4 linked regions of the Caenorhabditis elegans genome follow. The protein of the gene in region 1 interacts with the protein of each later gene in a biochemical or structural test. Each region holds a gene or a part of one and is shown in the gene's direction. Other genes may lie near its edges.

Region 1 (4,477 bases):
ATCGATTTTTTGAAGATTTTTACGGCAAAAATAGCATTGTAATGCATTTTCCTAACTAAATTTGGCGAAAAATAATTCAAAAAAATGTTATTTTATCAGGTTTTTGCAGAAAAAAAGTTTGGCGCTGCTAATTCAATTTTGGGCGCTGCTAACACTATAAACTACAAGTTTTGGGCGCTGCTAATCCAGATTTCGAGCTGTTAATGGGAATTTTATCGAAATTTCTGCATTTTTTTCGTAAATTTCGGCACGAAAACTAAATTATAGTCGGTTTTCACCGCAAAAATCACAATTTTATATGTTTTTCTGACTTTTTTGGGTGAAAAACTGAATTTTTGGCAATTTTTAGATTAAAAATTGAATAATTACGGCTTTTTTGACAGAAAAATTTATTATTTTTTCTATTTTAATGATTTTTCTCGCTAAATTTGGCGAAAAACGACTAAAAACTGTAATTTAATTGGATTTTTCTCAAAAAAATGGTTTGGCGCTGCTAACATTACAAACTACAAGTTTTGGGCGCTGCTAATTCAATTTTGGGCGCTGCTAAAACTACAAACTACAAGATTTGGGCGCTGCTAATTCAATTTTGGGCGCTGCTAAGACTACAAACTACAAGTTTTGGGCGCTGCTAATTCAATTTTGGGCGCTGCTAAAACTACAAACTACAAGATTTGGGCGCTGCTAATTCAATTTTGGGCGCTGCTAAAACTACAAACTACAAGATTTGGGCGCTGCTAATCCGGATTTCGAGCTGTTAATGGGACTGTTATTGAATTTTTTGCATTTTTCCGTAAATTTAAAAAGTAAAGGTAAAGGTTGTCCGTTTGGTTCAAGGGTGAGCCTAAGCCTCCTGCGGACAAGAGAGATTTTATTCGTTTTTCTGACTGTTTTTGGTGAAAAACTATTTTTTTTAATCAGATTTTTTGCAAAAAAAACTTGGTAGTCGAGCCTTTTTGTAGTTTTTTAACAATTTTTTGGTCTTTTTTGGGCAAAAAACCAACTAACACGCTCCTTGCAGCAGCTCCACGATTTTCGGCGACTCCGGCATGTCCAAAATGGCATGTTTGATCTTTTCTCGAATCGCCACCACGCTTTTTTGCCAATCTTTGTTGCAATGACGACGGGAAACCAGCCAATCTAAAGTTTTTGCGGTGTTTTTTGGGTTAAAATTAATGGATAACGAGTTACCAAGCAATTTACTGCTGTGAATATCGATTGGCAAGTCGTCTGACATGATTTTTTATCTGAAAAATTAAAATTTTAACTTAAAATTCAATTTTAAATTCAGAAATCTCCCAAAAAAAGAAGAAAATTTCGATGGAAAAATACACGTCAGCCACTGCGTAAATCGACACAAATTTAAAGGCGCATGCGGTTTCGTGTGTGTTGGGTCTCGCAACGCCCGCATTTTTAGGTGTTGATTTGAAATGAGTTTTCCTTTTTTTTTCGTCTTTTTCACTCGAATTTCATGATTTTCAGTTGATTTTCAATTGATTTTTTGGTTTTTTTTGCTGAAAATTAATTATTTTTTGATTAAAAAGCTTTTCGAACAAGAAAATACATGAATTTTGGCCCTAAAAGTGGATTTCAGAGCATGTGGATCTCACATTAATTAATTTAATAATTAACCTTTTTCCAGCGGGACAATGAGTACCGAAAACGGGAAGTCCGCAGATGCGCCGGTGGCGGCACCGGCTGCAAAAGAGTTGACCAGCAAGGACTACTACTTCGACTCGTACGCTCACTTCGGTATCCACGAGGAGATGCTCAAGGACGAGGTGCGAACCACCACCTACCGGAACTCGATCTATCATAACTCGCACTTGTTCAAAGACAAAGTTGTGATGGATGTTGGCTCGGGAACTGGAATTCTTTCCATGTTCGCCGCCAAGGCTGGAGCGAAGAAGGTTTTCGCGGTGAGTTTTTTTTGGATTTTTTGAACGGTTTTTAAAAATTTCCTTTTCCTTCAGATGGAATTCTCCAACATGGCGCTCACCTCCCGCAAAATAATCGCCGACAACAACCTGGACCACATCGTCGAGGTGATTCAGGCGAAGGTAGAGGACGTTCACGAGTTGCCAGGAGGCATTGAGAAGGTCGATATCATCATTTCCGAGTGGATGGGATACTGCTTGTTCTACGAGTCGATGCTCAACACTGTGCTCGTCGCCCGCGATAGATGGTTGGCTCCGAATGGAATGTTGTTCCCGGACAAGGCTCGTCTCTACGTCTGTGCTATCGAGGATCGTCAGTACAAGGAGGACAAGATCCACTGGTGGGATTCAGTCTACGGATTCAACATGTCCGCTATCAAGAACGTCGCGATCAAGGAGCCACTCGTCGATATCGTCGACAACGCTCAGGTCAACACCAACAATTGTCTGCTGAAGGACGTTGATTTGTACACCGTTAAAATCGAGGATCTCACGTTCAAATCGGACTTTAAGCTGAGATGCACTCGCAGCGACTATATTCAAGCTTTCGTCACCTTCTTCACCGTCGAGTTCTCCAAGTGCCACAAGAAAACCGGATTCTCGACTGGGCCAGATGTACAGTACACTCATTGGAAGCAGACCGTCTTTTATCTTAAAGTATGCGCTTAAAAATAACTTTTTTTCGGGTTAAATACCATTTTTCAACAGTTTTTCACCAAATTTAGTCAGTAAATGGTAAAAACTTCGATTTTTGGGCTGAAAATCGACCTTTTCACAGTTTTTGAAACAAAATTCGCCAAAAAATTAAGAAAACATGAATTAGCAGCCCCCAAAACTCGTAGTTTGTAGCTTAGCGGCGCCCAAAACTCGTAGTTTGTAGTTTAGCAGCGCCCAAATCTTGTAGTTTGTAGCTTAGCAGCGCCCAAAACTCGTAGTTTGTAGTCTAGCAGCGCCCACAATCGTAGTTTGTAGCTTAGCAGCGCCCAAATCTTGTAGTTTGTAGCTTAGCAGCGCCCAAAGCTCGTAGTTTGTAGCTTAGCAGCGCGCAAAACTCGTAGTTTGTAGTTTAGCAGCGCCCAAATCTTGTAGTTTGTAGCTTAGAAGCGCCCAAAACTCGTAGTTTGTAGTCTAGCAGCGCCCACAATCGTAGTTTGTAGCTTAGCAGCGCCCAAAATTAAATTAGCAGCGCCCAAATCTTGTAGTTTGTAGTCTAGCAGCGCCCAAAATCGTAGTTTGTAGCTTAGCAGCGCCCAAAACTAGTAGTTTGTAGTTTAGCAGCTCCCAAAAGCGAATTAGCAGCGCCCAAAAGCTTGTAGTTTGTAGTTTAGCAGCGCCCAAATCTTGTAATTTTGTAGTTTAGCAGCGCCCAAAACTAGTAGTTTGTAGTAGTCTTAAGTATTAAATTTGTGTTTTTTTAAAGATTTTTGCACGAATTTTGCACTTTTCTATCGATTTTTCGAGTAAAAACCGGATTTTCTGACTGAAACCGGGGTTTTTAGGCAAAAAGTTGTATTTTTCACTAATTTTCGTTAGCTAGAAAAACCCAGTTTTGTTTTAATAAAAAAGAAAAAAAATTGCAATTTTCACATCATCTTTGACTTCAAATTCGACACTTTCGATTCAAATTTTATTTTTTTTTTCAATTTTTCGATTTTTTCAGGACGCGCTCACAGTAAAGAAAGGCGAGGAAATAACCGGATCATTCGAGATGGCACCAAACAAGAACAACGAACGTGACTTGGATATCAACATTTCGTTCGATTTCAAGGGAGAAGTGTGTGATCTCAACGAGCAGAACACCTACACCATGCACTAATTTTTGCTGTTTTTTTTTTCGTCTTTTTTCTCACACTTTTTTGCCCCCAATTTTTACACTTTGTTGATCCCCCGTTGTTCCCCCCGAAACCTCCCGATTTCCGCAGATACTCGATTGTATATACCTCGATGCGGGTTGTTGTCGCGCACCTCCTCTATCCGCGCGCACGCTCACTCTGCTCGGTACTCCATTTGTTGACCTTTTTCCATAAAAAAAAATCTGCCAAAATTCAAGTTTTTTGCAATTTTTAAGCGATTTTATAATTTATAGGTTACGCAGCCTTTAGATATATTTTTAATATTCAATCAATAGTGAGCAGCGCCAAAAGAAAAACCGAAAAATTATTTTTAAAAAAGTTTAGCACAAAAAAAATGGAAGACGGCGATGAAGTGGTGGAGCCTATCGAGCCGGAATCCGAAGACATTGTGAATCTCACAAAACGACTAGGAGTGGATCTCGTGCTGGAATCCAATGATGACTGGAAAATCCAGGAAATCGGATTTGACGGTGTGGAGAGGTACCTGCAGCCCGAGACGTTCACTGATCATGTTGGAAAATTGGCTCGGAAGGTGGAATGGACGAAGCTAGTGGGCACAAAATCGCCTTATGAAAATTCGAAGGTTGATCCCGAAGATGAACTCGATGATGAGGTAGAAGCCGGCGAAAATCAAGAAAAATCGAATAATTTTCGGGAAAAAGTCAGAAAATCATCGATTTTCAGGCT
Region 2 (7,898 bases), on another chromosome or scaffold:
TGAATTTTTACAGAGAAAATGCTAGATTTCCGGTGAAAATCGGCAAATTTTGTGCAATTTTCGTTGGGTTTTAGCGTAAATGTACTATATTAAAGGTATTTCCCCAATAATTTAGAGCGAAAAGCGCGTGATATTCAGTTTTTGGGGGAAAAATCGTATTTTAATACAATTTTTCCTGATTTTTCTGAAAAAATCTTGGATTTCGGCTGAAAAAACACAATTTTTGTGCAATTTTCGTTGATTTCAATGACTTTTCAGTAATATAACGCTACTTTTACACTGAAATGTTAAAAAAAATCCCGATTTTCGTCCAAATTGTGTGAAATTTCAACGGAAATTCAGATTTTCACATTAAAAATTCGCCAATTAATCCATATTTTCGCTCGAAATTCGTCGCATTTTGTACCTTGGTGCCTCCGTATTCTGGGAGAAGGACACGATCTCCTGGCTTCACAGTCAATGCGACGAGCTCTCCCTTCTCGTTGCGAAGTCCGGCTCCGGCAGAGACGACGGTGGCTTCAAGGACCTGAAATATTCGAAAATTAGGTGGAAATTGCTTTAATTTGAGTGAAAATTCGGTAATTTCGGATAAAAATTGGACAAAAACCTCCGCGAGCAGTCGGAGAGCGTGTTGGCAGGGAAAATCGATAATTGCATCATTACACCAGACTTTACGGAATTTTCGGTGAAAATTAACATTTTTCGTATAAAATTGAAGGTTTTTAGCTAGAAACTGTGTTTTAGACGCCAAGTTGCACCATTTTGACGGTGAAATTGGCATTTTTGTGCTAGAAATCTGCTCCAAGACGTTGAAATTTATCAGTTTTCACCTGAAAAATCAATTTTTAGGCCAAAAATTGCTCACTTTTCCCTGTGACTTCTCCGGGAGCATGATTCCTCCCTTTGTCTTGGTCTCGGCGGCGACTCTCTCGACGAGCACACGATCATAGAGTGGCTTGAAGGTCTTGAGGACATTGCTCTGCAAAAAAATACGCGTTTAATTCGGAGAAAACACCGGGAAAATAGCTTACCGATCGGCGGACAGCGGTGAGGAACATTTTTCGGCTGAAAAATTGGTTTTTTGAGTTTTAAAATTTATTTTTAGCGGGAAATTACATGAAAACAACGAAAAAACCCGAAGAAACCCGCGAAAATTCAGAAAATGATCAAAAAACCAAAAGAAGCTTCGAGAAAAAAAGCAGAAAATAAATGTGCGGCGCGAAAAATCTCGTGCGGCAAACTTGCAAATCTAGGCGTGTCGGGCCAATGGCAGACACCGCGCCGCAAATTCAGCCAATCAGCGCGCTCAGCTCCACCTAGAAAAGTGTGCGCACCTTGCAAAACTGGGCGGAGCGAGTGAAATGATGCAAAAGTCTATTCTGATGTAAATTAGCCATTTTACATCAAAATTTGCGTCATTTTCGTTATTTTTCTCTCATTTTTCATATTTTGAACGAAAAATTGAGGTTTTTTGCTTCTATTTTCATCAGAAACCATTGAAAAATGCTTATTTTTGGGCCATTTTTCGTCGAAATTAGGGGAAAAAACTATTCTACAGTTTTCCCAGCTATTTTCTCATTTATTCCTGTATTTTTCAGTCATTACCTGCTTCCCAGACGATAATGCAAGGCTTCTCGCTTCATTTTCATAAAAAACGATTGAAAAATGCTTATTTATAGGCCATTTATCGTCTAAATTAGGGGAAATATCTGTTTTACCGTTTTCCCAGCCGATTTCTCATCCATTCTCGTTATTTTTCACTCCTTTTCTGCTTCTCAGACGATAATGCAAGGCTTCTCGCTTCATTTTCGATGAGAAACTCTGATTTTGCTCGCATTTTCGCCTTTCCGCTGCAGATTTTCACACAATTTTCGTAGTTTTTCAGACACAAAAGATGCTTCGCCTCGCCAGAAAGGGACTTCAGACCGCCGTCGTCAGATCTTACGCCAAGGACGTCAAGTTCGGAGCCGAAGGACGACAGGCCATGCTCGTCGGAGTCAACCTGCTCGCCGACGCCGTCTCTGTCACTATGGGCCCAAAAGTACGGGGATTTTGATGTGAAAATTGAGGAAAAAATGCTGTAAAAAAATCTATTTTAACGTATTTTTATACACAAAACTTCCGGTTTAATGCAAAATTTAATTTTTTTTTCTTCATAAATACAGCCTCTAAAACTCCAAACTCTTTCAGGGAAGAAACGTGATCATCGAGCAGTCGTGGGGAAGCCCAAAGATCACAAAGGACGGAGTCACCGTCGCGAAATCCATCGACCTCAAGGACAAATACCAGAACCTGGGAGCCAAGCTCATTCAAGATGTCGCCAACAAGGCTAATGAGGAGGCTGGAGACGGAACCACCTGCGCCACAGTTCTCGCCAGAGCCATCGCCAAAGAGGGATTCGAGAGCATTCGTCAAGGCGGAAACGCTGTCGAGATCCGTCGTGGAGTCATGAACGCCGTCGAAGTCGTCGTTGCAGAGCTCAAGAAGATCTCCAAGAAGGTTAATACCGGGAAATTGTGGATTTAAATTCAAAAGCCACAGTGATTTTTGGAAAAATTGGGATTTTTGACCCAATTTTGAAGCGATTTTCATTTGATGTTAGAGGAAAAACTAGAATTTCGCTCAAATCTGCTTGAAAATCGCGAATTTGTGGCTAAAATCAGTTGCCAGGAATTCAAAATCTTCAAAAAACCGTCATTTTTTCCCAATTCGGGCCATAAAGCTTATTTGTTCGACGGAAAAACCTTCATATTCCGGAAAACTGACAAAATTTCACTGATTTGCTCTGAAAATCTTGAAAAACCGTCATTTTTCCCCTACTCAGGACGAAAAGCTTATTGTTTGACGGAAAAACCCGAATATTCCCGAAAAATTACAAATTTTCACTGATTTGTCTCGAAAAACCTTGAAAATTCAAAAAGTTCGCCAAAATGTGGTGCTTTTTGGAACAATTGGCAGCTCTGATGCAATTTTTCATTCAATGTTGGCCTGAAAAGCTGAAAATATCGAATTTTTGGCCAAAATCAATAAAAACCCGCAATTTTCCCCAATTCAGGACGAAAGCACCTAATATCCCGGAAAATTTGCAAAATTTCGTGTTTTTTCAAACAGTTGTGAGCTCTGATCCAATTTTGAAGCGGTATTCATTCAATGTTGGCCTGAAAAGCTGAAAATATCGAATTTTTGGCCAAAATCCATAGAAACCCCGCAATTTTTACCCAATTCAGAACGAAAATCTTATTTTGTTTGACGGAAAAACCTTAAAAATCCGGAAAGCTGACAAAATTTCACTGATTTGCCCTGAAAAACCTTGAAAAGCCACTATTTTTTACCCAATTCAGGACGAAAAGCTTGTTGTTTGAATGAAAAAGCCCTAATATCCCGAAAAAATGGCCAAAAATTCACAGATTTGTAGGGAAATCGCGACTATTTCTGACTATATTTGCTCGATATACCTGAATTTTTACTTGTTTTAAACCAAAAATCGCGCCTAGAAACCTAAAAAATCAGAAAAAAAACTAAATTTAGCAATAATTTAACTAAAAAAAACTTGTTCCTGCAGGTCACCACCCCCGAAGAGATCGCTCAAGTCGCCACAATTTCCGCCAATGGAGACACCGTCGTCGGAAATCTCATCAGTGACGCCATGAAGAAGGTCGGAACCACTGGAGTCATCACTGTTAAGGACGGAAAAACGCTGAACGATGAGCTCGAGCTTATCGAGGGAATGAAGTTCGACAGAGGATACATCTCGCCGTACTTTATCACCTCTGCGAAAGGAGCTAAAGTCGAGTACGAGAAGGCTCTTGTCTTGTTGAGCGAGAAGAAGATCAGCCAAGTTCAGGATATTGTGCCGGCTCTTGAGCTCGCCAACAAGCTCCGCCGTCCATTGGTTATCATTGCCGAGGATGTTGATGGAGAGGCTCTTACCACTCTTGTTCTTAATAGACTTAAGGTACAGACGACAAGAAGCGAAAAACTGCAAATTTTGTCGAAAACCAGCGTTGAAACTCCATTTTTTGACGGAAATTCGCGTTATTTCGATTATTGCCCCCAAATACGGAGAAAAATGCGAAATTTGCTGAAACCCGACGTTTTCTTGATTAGTTTACCCCCAAATACGAAAAAAAAGTACAAAATTCGAAATTTTCAGCCAGGAATTTGGATTTCTCTTGAAATTTTGAATTTTTCAGCCAGGAATTTGGATTTTCCCTGAAATTTTGAATTTTTCAGCCAAAAATTTGGATTTTTCTTGAAAACTTCAATTTTTCAGCCAAGAATTTGGATTTCTCCTGAAATGTTGAATTTTCCACCCAAAAATTTTGATTCTTCTTGAAATTCGAACTTTCCAGCCAAAATTTTTCGCAATTTCGACTGAAAAATTCGTTTAAAAGCCGAAAATTACTGTTTTTCGGATCAGTTTCAGCTTGATTTTACAAACTTTTGGAAACTACAGATTTCTGCCGGAAATTACTTATTTTGGCATTAAAAACTTTTAATATCCCGATTTTTGGTTCGAAAAAATGTGTTTTTTTGCCAATTTCGACTGAAAAATGGCTAAAAATGCTGCAAAAATTTTGTATTCGTCCAAAAAATCCCCGGAAATTCACGTTTTTAGCCTAGAAAACTTGAATTTTTATCAGAAAATTCAAGTTCAAAGAACCGCGAGCATTTTTTGATCAGTGATGTTTGTTAGCAGCAGGAGGCTACTCGCAACAAAATACGAGCGACCTTGATTAGAGAATGATAATATATCTTCTTTTTCTTATCAGTTGAGAGAGTTTTACAAATTTTACGGCAAGAAAATAGAAAAAAAGCAGAAGAAACTAGGGATTCAGCAAGAAAATCGCCAGGAAATTTCATAATTTCCTGGATTTTCTCCAAAAACATGAAGATTTCACCTGAAAATCGCGCTAAATTAAAGTTAATTAATGTGTTTTACACTGAAAAACCTTTAAAACCGCAGAATTTTCTTCCAGGTCGGATTTATTCAGTATTCTACATAATTTTCCATTTTTATCAGTGAAAAAGTGCGCATTGACTTCTGAGAAAGTCTATTTTTGCTATTTTTGCTAAAAAATACATATTTTCACTGAAAAACCTCTAAACTCCATCATTTTCCACGATTTTAAGTTTAAAAAAAAACTAATTTTTCACTAAAAACCCTGTAAAACCGCAGAATTTTCTCTTCCAGGTCGGACTTCAAGTCGTCGCAATCAAGGCTCCAGGATTCGGAGATAACCGCAAGAACACGCTCAAGGATATGGGAATTGCGACGGGAGCAACGATCTTTGGAGATGACTCGAATCTCATTAAGATCGAGGATATCACAGCCAACGATCTCGGAGAAGTCGATGAGGTCACCATCACCAAGGACGATACTCTTCTTCTTCGCGGGCGTGGAGATCAAACAGAGATCGAGAAGCGAATCGAGCACATCACCGATGAAATTGAGCAATCGACGAGCGATTACGAGAAGGAGAAGCTTAATGAGCGTCTCGCCAAGTTGAGCAAGGGAGTCGCTGTGCTCAAGATTGGAGGAGGATCTGAAGTTGAAGTTGGAGAGAAGAAGGTGTGCGGAATTTGGCTGAAATTGGAGAAAAATTGAAGAAAAACTGGCTATTTTCCGTGGGAAAATGATCAAAATCCGTTCATTTTTGAGCTTTTTTTAGCAGAAAATTGGTTTAAAAAAACCTCAATTTCTACCAGATTTTTGTCGAGAAACCTGATTTTAAAACCTTTTTTGTGCCGTTTGTGCCATTGGAAACTCGTTAAAACTCAGTTTTTTATTTTTATTTGCAACAAAACGCAAGATTCTCTTTGTGCTCCTTTCGAGTAAAATTTATGGTAAATTCCCCCATTTTTGTGAAAGAAACCCACTAAATCTGCAGATTTTTCTTGAAAATTTAAATTTTTATTTAAACAATCTGACTTTTTCTTACAAATTTGAATTTTTTTAGCCAAAAATCTGAATTTTTCAGCCAAAAATTTGAATTTTTCTTGAAAATTTGATTTTTTCAGCCAAAAATTTGGATTTTTCTTGAAAGTTAGAATTTTTTAGTCGATCATTTTCAGCTTGATTTTGCCGTGTAAACTACAGATTTCTGCCGGAAAACATTAAAATTTGCGATTTTAGCAATTTCCAGCCGATTTTTGGTTCGAAAAAATGGCTATTTTGCCAATTTGAATTTTTCAGACAAAATTTTGCATTTTCCTTAAAAATTTGATATTTTCAGCCAAAAAATTGGATTTTCCCTGAAAATTTGATATTTTCAGCCAAAAATATGGATGTTTCTTAAAATTCGAACTTTCTAGCCGAAATTTTTCGCAATTGCCACTTAAAATTTTGTTGTTAGAAGCCGAAAATAACTGTTTTTTTCGCAATTTCAACTGAAAAAATTGATAAAAAAACGCGGAAAAAACTGTTAAATTGATTTTTCCCGCTGAGCATGCTCAAAAATAGCAGAAATTTTGGTTTTCCTGCGCGGAAAAATCTTGATTTCCACCAGATTTTATCGGTTTTCTGCAATTTTTTGTATGATTTTTCATCAATTTTTTTTTCATTACAGGACCGTGTCACCGATGCTCTGTGTGCCACGCGTGCCGCTGTCGAAGAAGGAATCGTTCCAGGAGGAGGTGTTGCTCTTCTCAGATCTCTGACAGCACTCAAAAACTACAAAGCAGCCAACGAGGATCAACAGATCGGTGTGAATATCGTCAAGAAGGCTCTCACTCAGCCAATCGCCACAATCGTCAAAAATGCCGGTCTTGAGCCATCGTCGATTATTGATGAAGTCACCGGAAACAGCAATACATCATATGGTTATGATGCGCTCAACGGAAAGTTCGTTGACATGTTCGAGGCTGGAATTATCGATCCAACTAAGGTATATACAGCGTCAAAAATTTGAATTTTTCGTGAAAATTTGAATTTTTGAGACAAAAATTTTGGATTTACCTCCAAAATTTGAATTTTTAGCCAAAAAATTTGAATTTTTCGTGAAAATTTGAATTTTTGAGCCAAAAATTTGGATTTTCCTCCAAAATTTTAATGTTTTAGCCAAAAATTGCATTATTTCACTGAAAATTTTCATTTTTAAGCCAAAAATTAGGAATTTTCTTGAAAATTTGAAGTTTTCAGGCGGAAAATTTGGATTTTACGTGAAAATTTAAATTTTTCAGCCAAAAATTGGAGTTTTTCAGCAGAAATTATTTGAAAGTAGTTCAAAAATTGGTCAAAAAATGGAAAAAAATTGCTTCTGGCCGTCTTTTTTTTTTTTTTGGAAAAAAAAACCCTGAAAATTCAACATTTCAAGAAAAATCGAAAATTTTTATGCAAAAAAAAATCTCCCCAAAAACCGCAATTTTCCAAATTTCCAGGTGGTTCGCACAGCTCTCCAAGATGCTTCAGGAGTCGCCTCACTTCTCGCCACAACCGAATGCGTAGTCACCGAAATTCCAAAGGAAGAAGCAGTTGGTGGACCAGCCGGTGGAATGGGTGGAATGGGTGGAATGGGCGGTATGGGAGGAATGGGATTCTAAGCTCTCAATCTCTCATTGAAATAACGACACCGATGGATTGATTTTCTCTCTAAAACACTGGTTTTTGCTCAATTTTGTCGTTTTTCCCATCATTTTTTCCCCAAAAATTTCCCCAAAAAAATTATGATCTTTTGTGCTCTGAGCCATTTGTTTTTTTCTTGTTTTACGGCTCTTTTTCCCCTTTTTTTGATGATAACTTTTCAATGGTGTTTTTTTTTTTAATTTTTTCGCAATTTTAGGACCTCAATTTTTTTTAGTTTAGTGTTTTTCCCCTTGTTTTTAGAGTATAATATATAGAATCTCCTTGTTTTTTTTTTCCGTTTTTTTCTTTGTTTTCACTCTCCTCCCCACCCCGT
Region 3 (5,226 bases), on another chromosome or scaffold:
TAATCTGCTTACTGGGTATCCCGAAATGGATGGATATAGTACATCATCTTCGTCGGATTCAGATGATGAACAGCTTTACATTTCAAATATTATGGCAGCCGCCTCGTTGAGTAGAGTAAGTTTTTAATTTATTCCACACTATCAATTTGAGATTTTCCAAACATTCAATCATAAAAAATTCAGGTTCCTGCAAAGTCTTCCAGTCGTAAATCAAAGAAAAATGAACCAATGATGATGTCGGGAGGCGGTGTTCGAATGGCAAAGAAAAAGAAAAGTTCCAGATGTACAGTATCTTGATATACTTGTCCAAACATTTACTGAATTCCTGAAAAGCCCATGTGATTCTTTTATACTTCTTCTTCAATTTTAAGCCTTTTCCTTCGTTTTTTTCTGCACGGTGAATTGTCCCATTTTATTAATTCAATATTGAACCTATTTTTAACACCCAGCCAACAGTGCAAGTAATGTAAAACTTATTTCAAATGAATATTCACTTCTCATTTGTCCGAATTCCAACACTGCTTCAATGAAATAAATTTATCTGAACTGGATTTGAATGTTTGGTCCATTTCAAAATAATTTATTACGCTACTTTTTTCTAAATCTACGAAACACCAGACTTACAGTGAAAGAAAAATAACTCAATCAAACAGATGAAACTATACGTGAAGAAGATAGATTGATATCACACAAGAGAAGACAAAAGCACGACAATCAATGAAATTATAAAAACAATGGCTAAAAATATAAAACAAGAGAAACATTGCACATGAGTGAAAACTTTTCGACTAGTCCTTATTCTTCTTCGTAATGCCCTGACTGAGACCGTAAGGGGAATCTCTGGAAATTCGTCCCTTCCTTTTCGATTGGTTTGCCATGATTGACATATTTGGATTGAGTGTGGTCGTTTTATCCAGATCGAAGTCTTGCTTCAAGTATTGTGAAGCAGCAAGCATTTGAATTTTGTGATGACCGCCACACACGATTCCAATAGATGCTTTCCTAATATCCTGATTCAGCGTATAGAACATAGGACTCAGCAGATAGCCTTCGGGTGTATAGTCTTTTGGAGCTTCTTAAAATAACAGTTAGAAATAGACTAAAGCTGTGAATGTAACCTACTTTCAGTGTACGAAACACGGAAACTCGCGTCGGACCCTTGAGGAAGCGGCTCCATTTTCTTGATACACCGGTGAAGTTTCTTGATTGTGCTTGCAAACATTTGTTTCGTGTTGTCGGTATCAACGAATTTCGCCTGTAACAGTTCTTGACTGCTTTCGTTCGTGTCGATTCCGCTGAAAACAATTGAAAACGAATAATTGAATAAGACCAGCAGCTTACTTATTTAGAGATACGAAAATCTCTCCTTCATCTCCATAAGCAAACCTGAACGCAAACACTTCATTAATGTCTTCCTCGTTTGGCTTCTTGTAGAACACGATTGCGAACTCTCGCAAATAGCCTTGTTGAATCGCATCTCTCAATCCGTCGAATGTTGAAGACACACGCTTTGCGGCAGGAACACTGCTCTGGAATGCGGTGACCAACAGTTTATCTGTATAAAAATATTTGTGATACATTGTAAAATAAGCCATACCTATTGTTCGAGTTTTGAAGCATTTTTCGTCCAAAATGCCACGGCGATCGAGAATGAAGGCCGAAGCACATTTTATGTAGCGAAGCGCAAACATTTCAGAATTTTTTTCAATCTCTAGATCAACGGGAAACGTGGCCTTCCACTGGCTGGCTATAGGAATTTCAGACTCGCGGTGCTCAACAATCTGCTCTTTCGTCGCCATCGCAAACCTACAATTACTGAAATATCATCGTGAAACAAATTAAAATGTTTAAAAAATAATATCTATAAAATCTATAACAAGTTAAACATATTATTTAATTATAAAACCCCGCATTGATTAAACATATTTTGATTTGAAAAAAAAAACTAGAAAATAGGTAAAATAAATCTGGAAATAGTTCAGAAACTTAGAAATTATTAAAGGCGCATGGAAGTTTCAGATCTACGGGTCTCGAAACGAACAACTCGACGCGAACGCGGAAGTTGCAATTTCGATCTCGTCCCAATTTTCTTTTCCGTTTTCTTACTTTTTTGGGTAAATTTTGCGTTTTTTTGAATTCTAATCTCGAAAAATTTTTTAAAAATTTAAATATTTATTTCAGTTTCATCCATTTCACATGGAGGCTAACAAGCGAGAAATTGTGGATTTCGGTGGGCTGAGATCCTACTTTTTCCCAAATTTGGCCCACTACATCACGAAGAATGACGAAGAACTGTTCAACAATACATCTCAGGTTGGACTATAATATTTAAAGACCGATTTTCTATTATTCAATTTCAGGCCAATAAGTTGGCTGCTTTCGTGTTGGGAGCTTCCAAAGACGCTCCTGGAGACGAAGACATTTTGGAGATGATCTTGCCGAACGACGCTAACGCTGCCGTTATTGCTGCTGGCATGGACGTTTGTCTTCTTCTCGGAGATAAATTTGTAAGTGTGAATTAAACTTATTGTAATCAATTATAACGTTTTAGCGTCCGAAATTTGATGCTGCTGCTGAGAAATTGTCAGGATTGGGACATGCTCATGATCTGGTTTCTGTCATCGATGACGACAAGAAGCTCGGAATGCTCGCCCGTAAGGCCAAGCTGAAGAAGACTGAAGACGCTAAGATTCTTCAAGCTCTTCTCAAAGTAATCGCAATCGATGATGCCGCCGAAAAGTTTGTTGAGCTCACGGAACTTGTCAGCCAACTGGATCTGGACTTTGATGTTTATGTCCTAACTAAAATCCTCGGACTTATCTCTGAGGAGACTAGCGACGAGGTCGACATTATCCGTGATAACGTCGTCAACGCATTTGATAGCTGCAAGCCGTTGTTGAAACAGTTGATGTAATTGTTGTCCTTTTCAAAATAATTCGATTTTTTTTTTCAATTTAGGTTGGATGGTCCGAAATCTGAACCTGCCGATCCATTCATTAGTCTCCTCATGGATCCACTCGAAGAGTCTGTTGGGAAAGTTGTGAACCATATCGCTCAACTTTTCGAGGAAGCGAGTAAAAATGAAGGAGACGAGTCACTTGTCTTGAGATCTCAACTCGGATATCAGCTCTTTTTCCTTATCGTTCGTTCACTTGCAGATGGAAAGCGCGAGGTTTCCAAGAAAATCCTCTCTGGGATTCCTACGAGTGTCAGAGCGGAAGTCTTTCCAGGATTGCAAAGAAGTGTCTACAAGAGTGCGGTGTTCCTCGGCAATCACATCATCCAAGTTCTTTTAGGATGTTAGTATTTTCGTCTTTGTTTACTTTTAAAATCTAAATATTTCAGCTAAGAAGTCTTTTGAGGATTGGGATGTTGTTGGAGTCGCGAAAGACTTGGAGAGCGCCTGGAAAAGACGAGCCATTGCGGAACTTATCAAGAAGTTCCAAGTCTCAATTCTAGAGCAATGCTTCGATAAGCCCGTTCCACTGGTGAGTTAATGATTCTATAAACATTACTTACATGACCGTTTTTCAGATTCCTCAGAGTCCACTAAACAATGATGCGGTGATCGATAATGTGAATAAAGCTCTACAGTTTGCACTGTGGCTTACAGAGTTTTACGGATCCGAGAATGAGACTGAAGCGCTGGGCGAGCTTCGTTTCTTGGATTCCACTTCAAAAAATCTTCTCGTCGATAGCTTCAAGAGTGAATATTCCTTTTTTTATCTCCTGTTAACTTTTTAATTTCAGAATTTGTTCAAGGAATCAACTCGAAGACTCATGTCACTCGAATTGTTGAATCACTGGAGAAGTGTTGTTTGTCCGATACACCAAGTGGCAGAAAGAGCAATGTGCAACCATCCACTTCCCAACAGCAGGATTCCGCCTACACGAAAGAGGAAATGACGACGGTTCACAACACATACAGCGTAAATACTAAAGCTCAAGTTCTCAACGGTCTCAGTGATACCAATTCTTCCGGGTTACTTGTCGATTCAAAGGATTCACTCAGTCTTCAGGAGATTTCTTGTGACGAAGTGGATTCTTCGACTTTGCTAAGCTCATCAAGAAACATTGGAGAAGGTGTTACTGTAAAAGCGGTCGATCCTGTCCCAGAAAAGGTTAACGATGCACAACAACAGCAAACAGTTAACGAGATCGAGATGGCTTCGGATGCCAATCAAGATACTTCTTCAAGTGCTTCGCCAGAAGTAGCGCCAAGTTTTTCCACCGATGGCTGGGATTCTCCAACGAAATCAGTAGCTCTGCCACCGGTATCGCGTTCATCGTTTCAGAATTATAAAAATATTTCTTTCAGGGCATGCAGCAGATAGATGAAGAGGAAACCACAGTTGCTGACAAAGATTCTACACCACAACCACAAGCTCGTGCTGAAACTGCATGGGGGTCAGGCGACGCTACTCCAATGCCTCTTCCTGCCCCGACTAATCAATACAAAGTCAGTGGATTTGGGGAAGCCAAAGTTGCAAAAGGATTCGGTCAATTTGCTCCCACCAGTTCAGCTTATGGAGGAGGAGGTGGTCGCGGAGGATATGGCGGTGGAGACCGTGGAGGCAGAGGTGGATACGGCGGAGATCGTGGAGGTAGAGGTGGATACGGCGGGGGAGACCGCGGAGGACGAGGTGGATACGGCGGAGATCGTGGACGTGGTGGTTACGGGGGTCGTGGTGGACGCGGAGGTTTCTAAACTCCAACTATTGAATGTTTAATTTGTTTTTTAAGTATACACTTCTTGTATACTTACACGTTTTACGCACATTATTTATTCTAACAATCTTGTTGTAAAATCCCTAAAACCTTGACTGTCATTTATTATTTATTCAACCTGTTTTTCCTTGTTCCCGGTAAATGTTTGAACTAGATTGTTGCAAGAAATTAACTCAATTAATTACACGTATATCTCTTTCTGCGGCTTGATGAGAAAAGTGATGTCTGAATCGACGGTGCCGAATGATTGGTGGATCATAAAATTAACAGGTGGCACTGCATGCATTCTTATACAATTTCAACTGATCTTATCATACATTTACGCATATTAGAGTTGTAAATCGTTATGAGACATCTGCATTCGAACATAACAAATACCGTATTTCTTCTATTAATATGGCTGCAATACTATTTTTCGATGGTCTTCCCGCTTGCAATACTAATAGGGAATGCAAGACTATTAGGGAGTGCAATACTAATTTTCAGAGCATTTTCTGA
Region 4 (5,944 bases), on another chromosome or scaffold:
CACACACACACACACAATGTGCTCTTAAGAATGAAGAGTAGACAGCAAGTGTGTATAAACATGCCATAGTGTATTGAAAGAACCTATAGTGCATTTGTGCTTTATGGTGGGCATGAAGTGATGTCATCTGATCCCTTGTTGGGTCAATCGTTCTCACAAAAAAAAGCTGTGGAACACATTCGTAAACAGAACGTCGATGCCCCCCGTTTCTGAATCATCAGTGACATTTTACTTCATTTCTAAACATAACATTTCCTTTTTTTTGCCTTCCGTCATTGTTTCTCATATTTTTCTATACGACGATTACTCATCAAAAGAGGACACGCTTCATGTTTTGTAACGAAATGGAAAACTATTTTTTTGTTCTTATTCGGGAAAAGTTGGATGTGAAACATTGGGAGAACACCGCGCACGGTTGAGGGGGGGGGGGGGGGGGGAAGAGGAAACCAATTTGACCACTATGTTTTGAAAAAAAAAGAATCTCAATGAGTTTTCTGGGTGATACTAATTAAATTGCGAACCCATTTAATCAGGTCCCTCTTTCTCGGCACTTTGTTCGTTTTCTTCGCAACCAATAAAACTGGACCCCGAGAGGTAACATGTTGTTGATGGTTCCTGATGATGCTCCGCTCTTCCCGCTTCTCATCTCCCCCGCATTGTGCAGTTGAAAGCAAAACTTGCAGTGTAACACCGAGAAAGCAGGGCAGCTAATTCAATGGAAACAATTCAAACTTTTTGGAGAAAAAAAATCTAAACCCTCTCGCTCAAAGATTATATTCCGGCGGAATACAGAAAAAAAAAACAAATTGTTGAATCATATAAATTCAAAAATCGAACATGTGACAATATCCAAGAATAGAAATTGATGACTAATACAATTTTCAGAAATTTTGCTTTGTTGTGATTTGAAACAAAATCATTTTCAGATATACTTTGAAGTACAAAAAGTGTTGAAAACATGAGGAATTTTCCTTTAACACTGGCACGTCATGCTCCACTTTGACAAAATACGTGTCAAATTTTTTTCTACATTTGAACATTGAATCATTTCTTAATAAAACTAGAGACCATCGATATATTGGAAAATACGGTTCCTTCATTACCAACTTACAGTTAAAAAACCTCGCTTTTCCTGATATTGATGACAAAAAGATTAATTCTAGATTCGAATATATCACTAAGTATGGCAAGAAAAGAGTTCTGAGAACATCTTTAGTCTGCAGTGCCACGACGTCTGCAATTGTTTTGCAACATTAAAATCTTACGGTTCCTTATCAAATTATCCCTTAAAAACCGAACGGCCGTTCGCTTTTCACTGACCAATTTCATAATTACAAAACATTTTTAGGCGTTTTTCTCACGTTGCGCTCTGCCGAACGCCTCATCTTCGAGGCGGGAAGGCGCGACGCGGTCCCCCAATTCAAATTTTCCAGGACACCACCACCACACTGTTTTTCCCTCCGTGTCCCGCCCTTCCGAGGACCGTCTGTCGGATGGCCGCTCTCCAGTATTCCCTCAATCCCTCATTCGGTTGGGCGGGGCCAGCCGACCAATGGCAAAGAGCGGCGCGGACGCGTCGCGTGCAGCAGTATAAATAGGCCACGAGAGGCAGAGTTGTGCACTGGTTTTTCACTAGGCACCCGCTTTCAGTTCCCAAAAAAATGTGTGACGACGAGGTTGCCGCTCTTGTGGTGGACAATGGATCCGGAATGTGCAAGGTGAGTTGATAACATTTGAATAATTCTAATTAGGGACAAAGGTTTAAAACAATATTATGCAATCTTAACTGCTCTAGAAACATTTGAATATAAGATTTAGAAATTTTGGAAAATTTTATTTTGTTAGTTTTAACTGCGCTTATTCCAACTCCATGTCTCAAATTTACTTTTCATTTGGGTTTAAAATTTCCAACAACCTAGGAATAATTCCATTGCATTGTATAAAAAGTTGTTTCCCTGCCGCATAAGGATTTTGAATTTCTATTCCTTCTCAACGTTTCGATTTGCATTGTTTCGCAAATAATTATGGCAACAGTTGTAGTAGTAGTGGGTGGTGATTCATATCGTCCGTCAACACCTGCGCGCGGTCACTCGCTCCCTCCCATTTTCAAATCTGGCGCCACGCGCCCCTTTTTCATCCCACTGGGAGAATATGTAAGGGGGGGGAAGAAAAAAGGAATCGTCGCAAGGATATGTTTTTAGTGTATGTAGAGTATTGTTGGAGAGGGGCCAACCCGACCCCGACCCGATGCGCATTTGCAATGGTGTGTGAGGAGAGGCCGTCCGTTGAGGGAACGTCCGCGACGTTTCCTTCGTACAATGGGATATATCACGACCAGCCAACAGTAGTGTAATGCACATTCCGAGAGGGCAGTGGCAATAGTTGAATAGAGATTTCGCCAGTAGATTAGCAACCCCATAAGATAGAAAGAGAGGCAAACCATTCAACAAGAACAGCGATTTTTTTCGTCGTCAAAAGCCAGTAGTTTTTTGTCTATCCACGACGGGTATCTTTATTTGCAACCACCTCACTTTGCAATCCTCATTAAGTATAATTTGGGAACGAAGAAGCGCAACGCGAACATCAATTATCCGCACCACCCTCAATAGTGCTACTTGGCTAATTTGTGGCCCTAGGAAACAAGATGTGTGTGAGTGTCTGAGAGTGTGAGATTCCGATGGTATTGGCGAACCCTTCCCGGATTTATTTATATATATGTGTCAGAAAAGAGGCTGCCGCTAATCGCTAATCTTGACAGTGTGTTGGTCAAGTGTGCCCTTGTATCCTCCTCGCATCACTGTATGCAGGGCGGCGGTTTCCCTCCATTCGGCCTCTCTTGTTGAATGACTACCACCACGCCAACAGCCGAACGGATGGGAGACGGATAGGACACAAGAAGGGACGGACGGACTGTCAAGGCCAAGAAATGCCACCTTTTGTCAATCCTCACTATATTGATTGATAGAAATGAATATGCGCAATCTAGACATGAGAGTCCGATTGAGGCCAAGTAGTAGGAGGCGAAAAGTGCGATTAGGATGAACGGGGAGAGAGTAAGTGACCGGGATAGGATTGTACAAATGCAATGGTCATCAGGGACTTTCATCATCAAAATGTCCCCCTTCCCATTCTAATTCAATTTTCCACAATTTCCATTTGAAATCAAAAAACTGACACGCTCACATCTGGTGCTCTTGGTGTGTAGACGATGACTCAATGCATTTCGAAATCTGTCTTAGTGCCCGAATGCCCCGCTTCTCAGTGCTGCTGATGGCCTCCCATTCGCCCCGTTTCCTATCTCATTATTCAACAGCGCAATTGGATTGCGAAATGGATCTGAGTGGGTAAAAAAAAACGGGGCCAGTGGCAGCAGCAGGCCCCTGCGACCAACACGGGGGTAAGCGAGCGCTGGGCACACTCTCTCACACACACACACACACACACACACACACACACACAAACACAGAGAGACATACACACATCTGTTGAGCGTTGTCGCCGCTCACCACACACCAAAGCGTTCTCGGAAAAAGTACTTCATTCGATATCAACCGTGAACTAGAGGAGTAGAGCGAGAGAGGGCATTTTGAGAATAGGGGAATGGGCCTTTTGTGTTTGCACTGCTCTCGCTCGTGCGCGGACTCACTGCGCTCTGCCAAATCTCGACCGAATTCTCGCCGCAACCTTCTCTCTTTGCAATGTAAATATAATGGACATTCTTGAAAGACCTAACGAGAGTATTCATTTCTTATCTAGGGGTCATCATGGGATATATTGAAACAAAAATTGATAATTTCAGGCCGGATTCGCCGGAGACGATGCTCCACGCGCTGTCTTCCCATCCATCGTTGGACGCCCAAGACATCAAGGTGTGATGGTCGGTATGGGACAGAAGGACTCCTACGTCGGAGACGAAGCCCAGTCCAAGAGAGGTATCCTTACCCTCAAGTACCCAATTGAGCACGGAATCGTCACCAACTGGGACGATATGGAGAAGATCTGGCATCACACCTTCTACAACGAGCTCCGTGTTGCCCCAGAAGAGCATCCAGTCCTCCTCACTGAGGCTCCACTCAATCCAAAGGCCAACAGAGAAAAGATGACCCAAATCATGTTCGAGACCTTCAACACCCCAGCCATGTACGTCGCCATCCAGGCCGTGCTCTCCCTCTACGCTTCCGGACGTACCACCGGAGTCGTCCTCGACTCTGGAGATGGTGTCACCCACACCGTCCCAATCTACGAAGGATATGCCCTCCCACACGCCATCCTCCGTCTCGATCTTGCCGGACGTGATCTTACTGACTACCTCATGAAGATCCTCACTGAGCGCGGTTACTCCTTCACCACCACCGCTGAACGCGAGATTGTCCGTGACATCAAGGAGAAGCTCTGCTATGTCGCCCTCGACTTCGAGCAAGAAATGGCCACCGCTGCCTCCTCATCTTCCCTCGAGAAGTCCTACGAACTTCCTGACGGACAGGTCATCACCGTTGGAAACGAGCGTTTCCGTTGCCCAGAGGCTCTCTTCCAGGTAAGAAAATATTTGCACCTCTAGCTAAACATAAAATTAATTCCTATTCATTTCAGCCATCCTTCTTGGGTATGGAGTCTGCCGGAATCCACGAGACTTCTTACAACTCCATCATGAAGTGCGACATTGATATCCGTAAGGACTTGTACGCCAACACCGTCCTTTCCGGAGGAACCACCATGTACCCAGGAATCGCCGATCGTATGCAGAAGGAAATCACCGCTCTTGCCCCATCGTAAGTTTAACTTAAATGGATTTCAAGAACTAATATTTACTTTCTATTTTTTCAGCACCATGAAGATCAAGATCATCGCCCCACCAGAGCGCAAGTACTCCGTCTGGATCGGAGGATCCATCCTCGCCTCCCTCTCCACCTTCCAACAGATGTGGATCTCCAAGCAAGAGTACGACGAGTCCGGCCCATCGATTGTCCACCGCAAGTGCTTCTAAATTTTTTGCCCCTTCCACCCACAACGCTCAAAAGAAGTTCGTATTATCCCGCAACCCATCCAGACCATCCTTTTACATTTTTTTTATTTTCTCTTTTTTTTTTCTTCACCCTCTCCGTGTACATTGCTAGTAATAGTTCCAACTTCTCTAGCCGACTGCATTATGCTTCCCATTCTCACCCAAATCTTCATTGGTAACTTCTCTTGTATTTGTTCAATACTATTCCGGTAGTAATCTAGGCATGTATAACTAGGTTCTCTGTGTATCTTTGGTTTGAAGTTGAGGTTTAATGCAATCACTTTTGTTGTTGTACCCTATTACTGCCGATGACCCCCATTTTCTCATTACAAAATTGACATTTTAAACCATTTTTTCTCTGAATCATGCTCATTATTTGAGCCACATTCATAATAAAGCTTTTAATAAGACAAATTGATCAAGTTTATCTAATGTAAAAAATACAAATAAAGAAAATTCAACCCGGAGGAGAGATGAAGTGAGTAGCTGTTACGGAACACAGATTATTTGCCTTGTTTGTTTCCGAAGATGTCTCCGACGCGGTCCAAAATTGAGCCAATACTGAGCGGATCATCTGGATTTGTGCAACGGACTCCTAGTAGTTGATCCTGTAATTTAGAAGGTGAGTTTTTTTAAACTAAAACAACAAATCTTAGAAAAATATGTTGTTTTTTGAGTTTAAAATAAGAATTGAACACAAAATGTACAACAAAAATTAAAAAAATTCATGGAATTCTTGATCCGCTTTTATGATTAGTGTCTCATTTTGTTTTACTCAAGTATGTTATTAAAAATATATCATACAATGTTTGAAAAAATATTTTTAACGGAAAAAAACAGGATATGGACGCAGCCTATTATTCATTTTCTACAAGTCGAAACATTGCCACATGAATATAGCATTTTTATAAAATAAATAAGGTATCTAATTAAAGTGAATCA

The links.
Region 2: of the proteins of prmt-1 (region 1) and hsp-60, one has a biochemical effect on the other in vitro, tested with the Caenorhabditis elegans proteins (one study listed by BioGRID).
Region 3: of the proteins of prmt-1 (region 1) and pgl-1, one has a biochemical effect on the other in vitro, tested with the Caenorhabditis elegans proteins (one study listed by BioGRID).
Region 4: of the proteins of prmt-1 (region 1) and act-4, one has a biochemical effect on the other in vitro, tested with the Caenorhabditis elegans proteins (one study listed by BioGRID).

The regions. Positions count from the first base shown.
Region 1 is NC_003283.11:20,266,877-20,271,353, reverse strand, and holds prmt-1 (Protein arginine N-methyltransferase 1), read left to right. Parts: upstream 1-1,642; 5' UTR 1,643-1,649; coding exon 1,650-1,919; intron 1,920-1,973; coding exon 1,974-2,594; intron 2,595-3,597; coding exon 3,598-3,753; 3' UTR 3,754-3,977; downstream 3,978-4,477. Other genes in the region: cdkr-3 (CDK5RAP3 protein homolog), read right to left, coding at 1,009-1,140, 1,192-1,237; mdt-17 (Mediator of RNA polymerase II transcription subunit 17), read left to right, coding at 4,125-4,403. UniProt on the Caenorhabditis elegans protein: Arginine methyltransferase that methylates (mono and asymmetric dimethylation) the guanidino nitrogens of arginyl residues present in target proteins.
Region 2 is NC_003281.10:1,617,865-1,625,762, forward strand, and holds the start of hsp-60 (Chaperonin homolog Hsp-60, mitochondrial), read left to right. Parts: upstream 1-1,877; 5' UTR 1,878-1,894; coding exon 1,895-2,041; intron 2,042-2,190; coding exon 2,191-2,499; intron 2,500-3,562; coding exon 3,563-3,955; intron 3,956-5,194; coding exon 5,195-5,572; intron 5,573-6,569; coding exon 6,570-6,887; intron 6,888-7,380; coding exon 7,381-7,542; 3' UTR 7,543-7,898. Other genes in the region: Y22D7AL.10 (10 kDa heat shock protein, mitochondrial), read right to left, coding at 407-526, 866-979, 1,032-1,058. UniProt on the Caenorhabditis elegans protein: Implicated in mitochondrial protein import and macromolecular assembly. May facilitate the correct folding of imported proteins.
Region 3 is NC_003282.8:6,974,099-6,979,324, reverse strand, and holds pgl-1 (Guanyl-specific ribonuclease pgl-1), read left to right. Parts: upstream 1-2,006; coding exon 2,007-2,114; intron 2,115-2,181; coding exon 2,182-2,313; intron 2,314-2,360; coding exon 2,361-2,507; intron 2,508-2,551; coding exon 2,552-2,910; intron 2,911-2,958; coding exon 2,959-3,299; intron 3,300-3,345; coding exon 3,346-3,488; intron 3,489-3,534; coding exon 3,535-3,706; intron 3,707-3,750; coding exon 3,751-4,274; intron 4,275-4,318; coding exon 4,319-4,708; downstream 4,709-5,226. Other genes in the region: prkl-1 (LIM zinc-binding domain-containing protein), read left to right, coding at 1-115, 184-297; him-3 (HORMA domain-containing protein), read right to left, coding at 789-1,075, 1,123-1,295, 1,342-1,555, 1,598-1,799. UniProt on the Caenorhabditis elegans protein: Guanyl-specific endoribonuclease which cleaves the phosphodiester bond in single-stranded RNA between the 3'-guanylic residue and the 5'-OH residue of adjacent nucleotide, resulting in the formation of a corresponding 2',3'-cyclic phosphate intermediate.
Region 4 is NC_003284.9:4,959,001-4,964,944, forward strand, and holds act-4 (Actin-4), read left to right. Parts: upstream 1-1,620; 5' UTR 1,621-1,661; coding exon 1,662-1,718; intron 1,719-3,799; coding exon 3,800-4,534; intron 4,535-4,590; coding exon 4,591-4,769; intron 4,770-4,824; coding exon 4,825-4,984; 3' UTR 4,985-5,413; downstream 5,414-5,944. Other genes in the region: M03F4.6 (EB domain-containing protein), read right to left, coding at 5,506-5,610. UniProt on the Caenorhabditis elegans protein: Actins are highly conserved proteins that are involved in various types of cell motility and are ubiquitously expressed in all eukaryotic cells.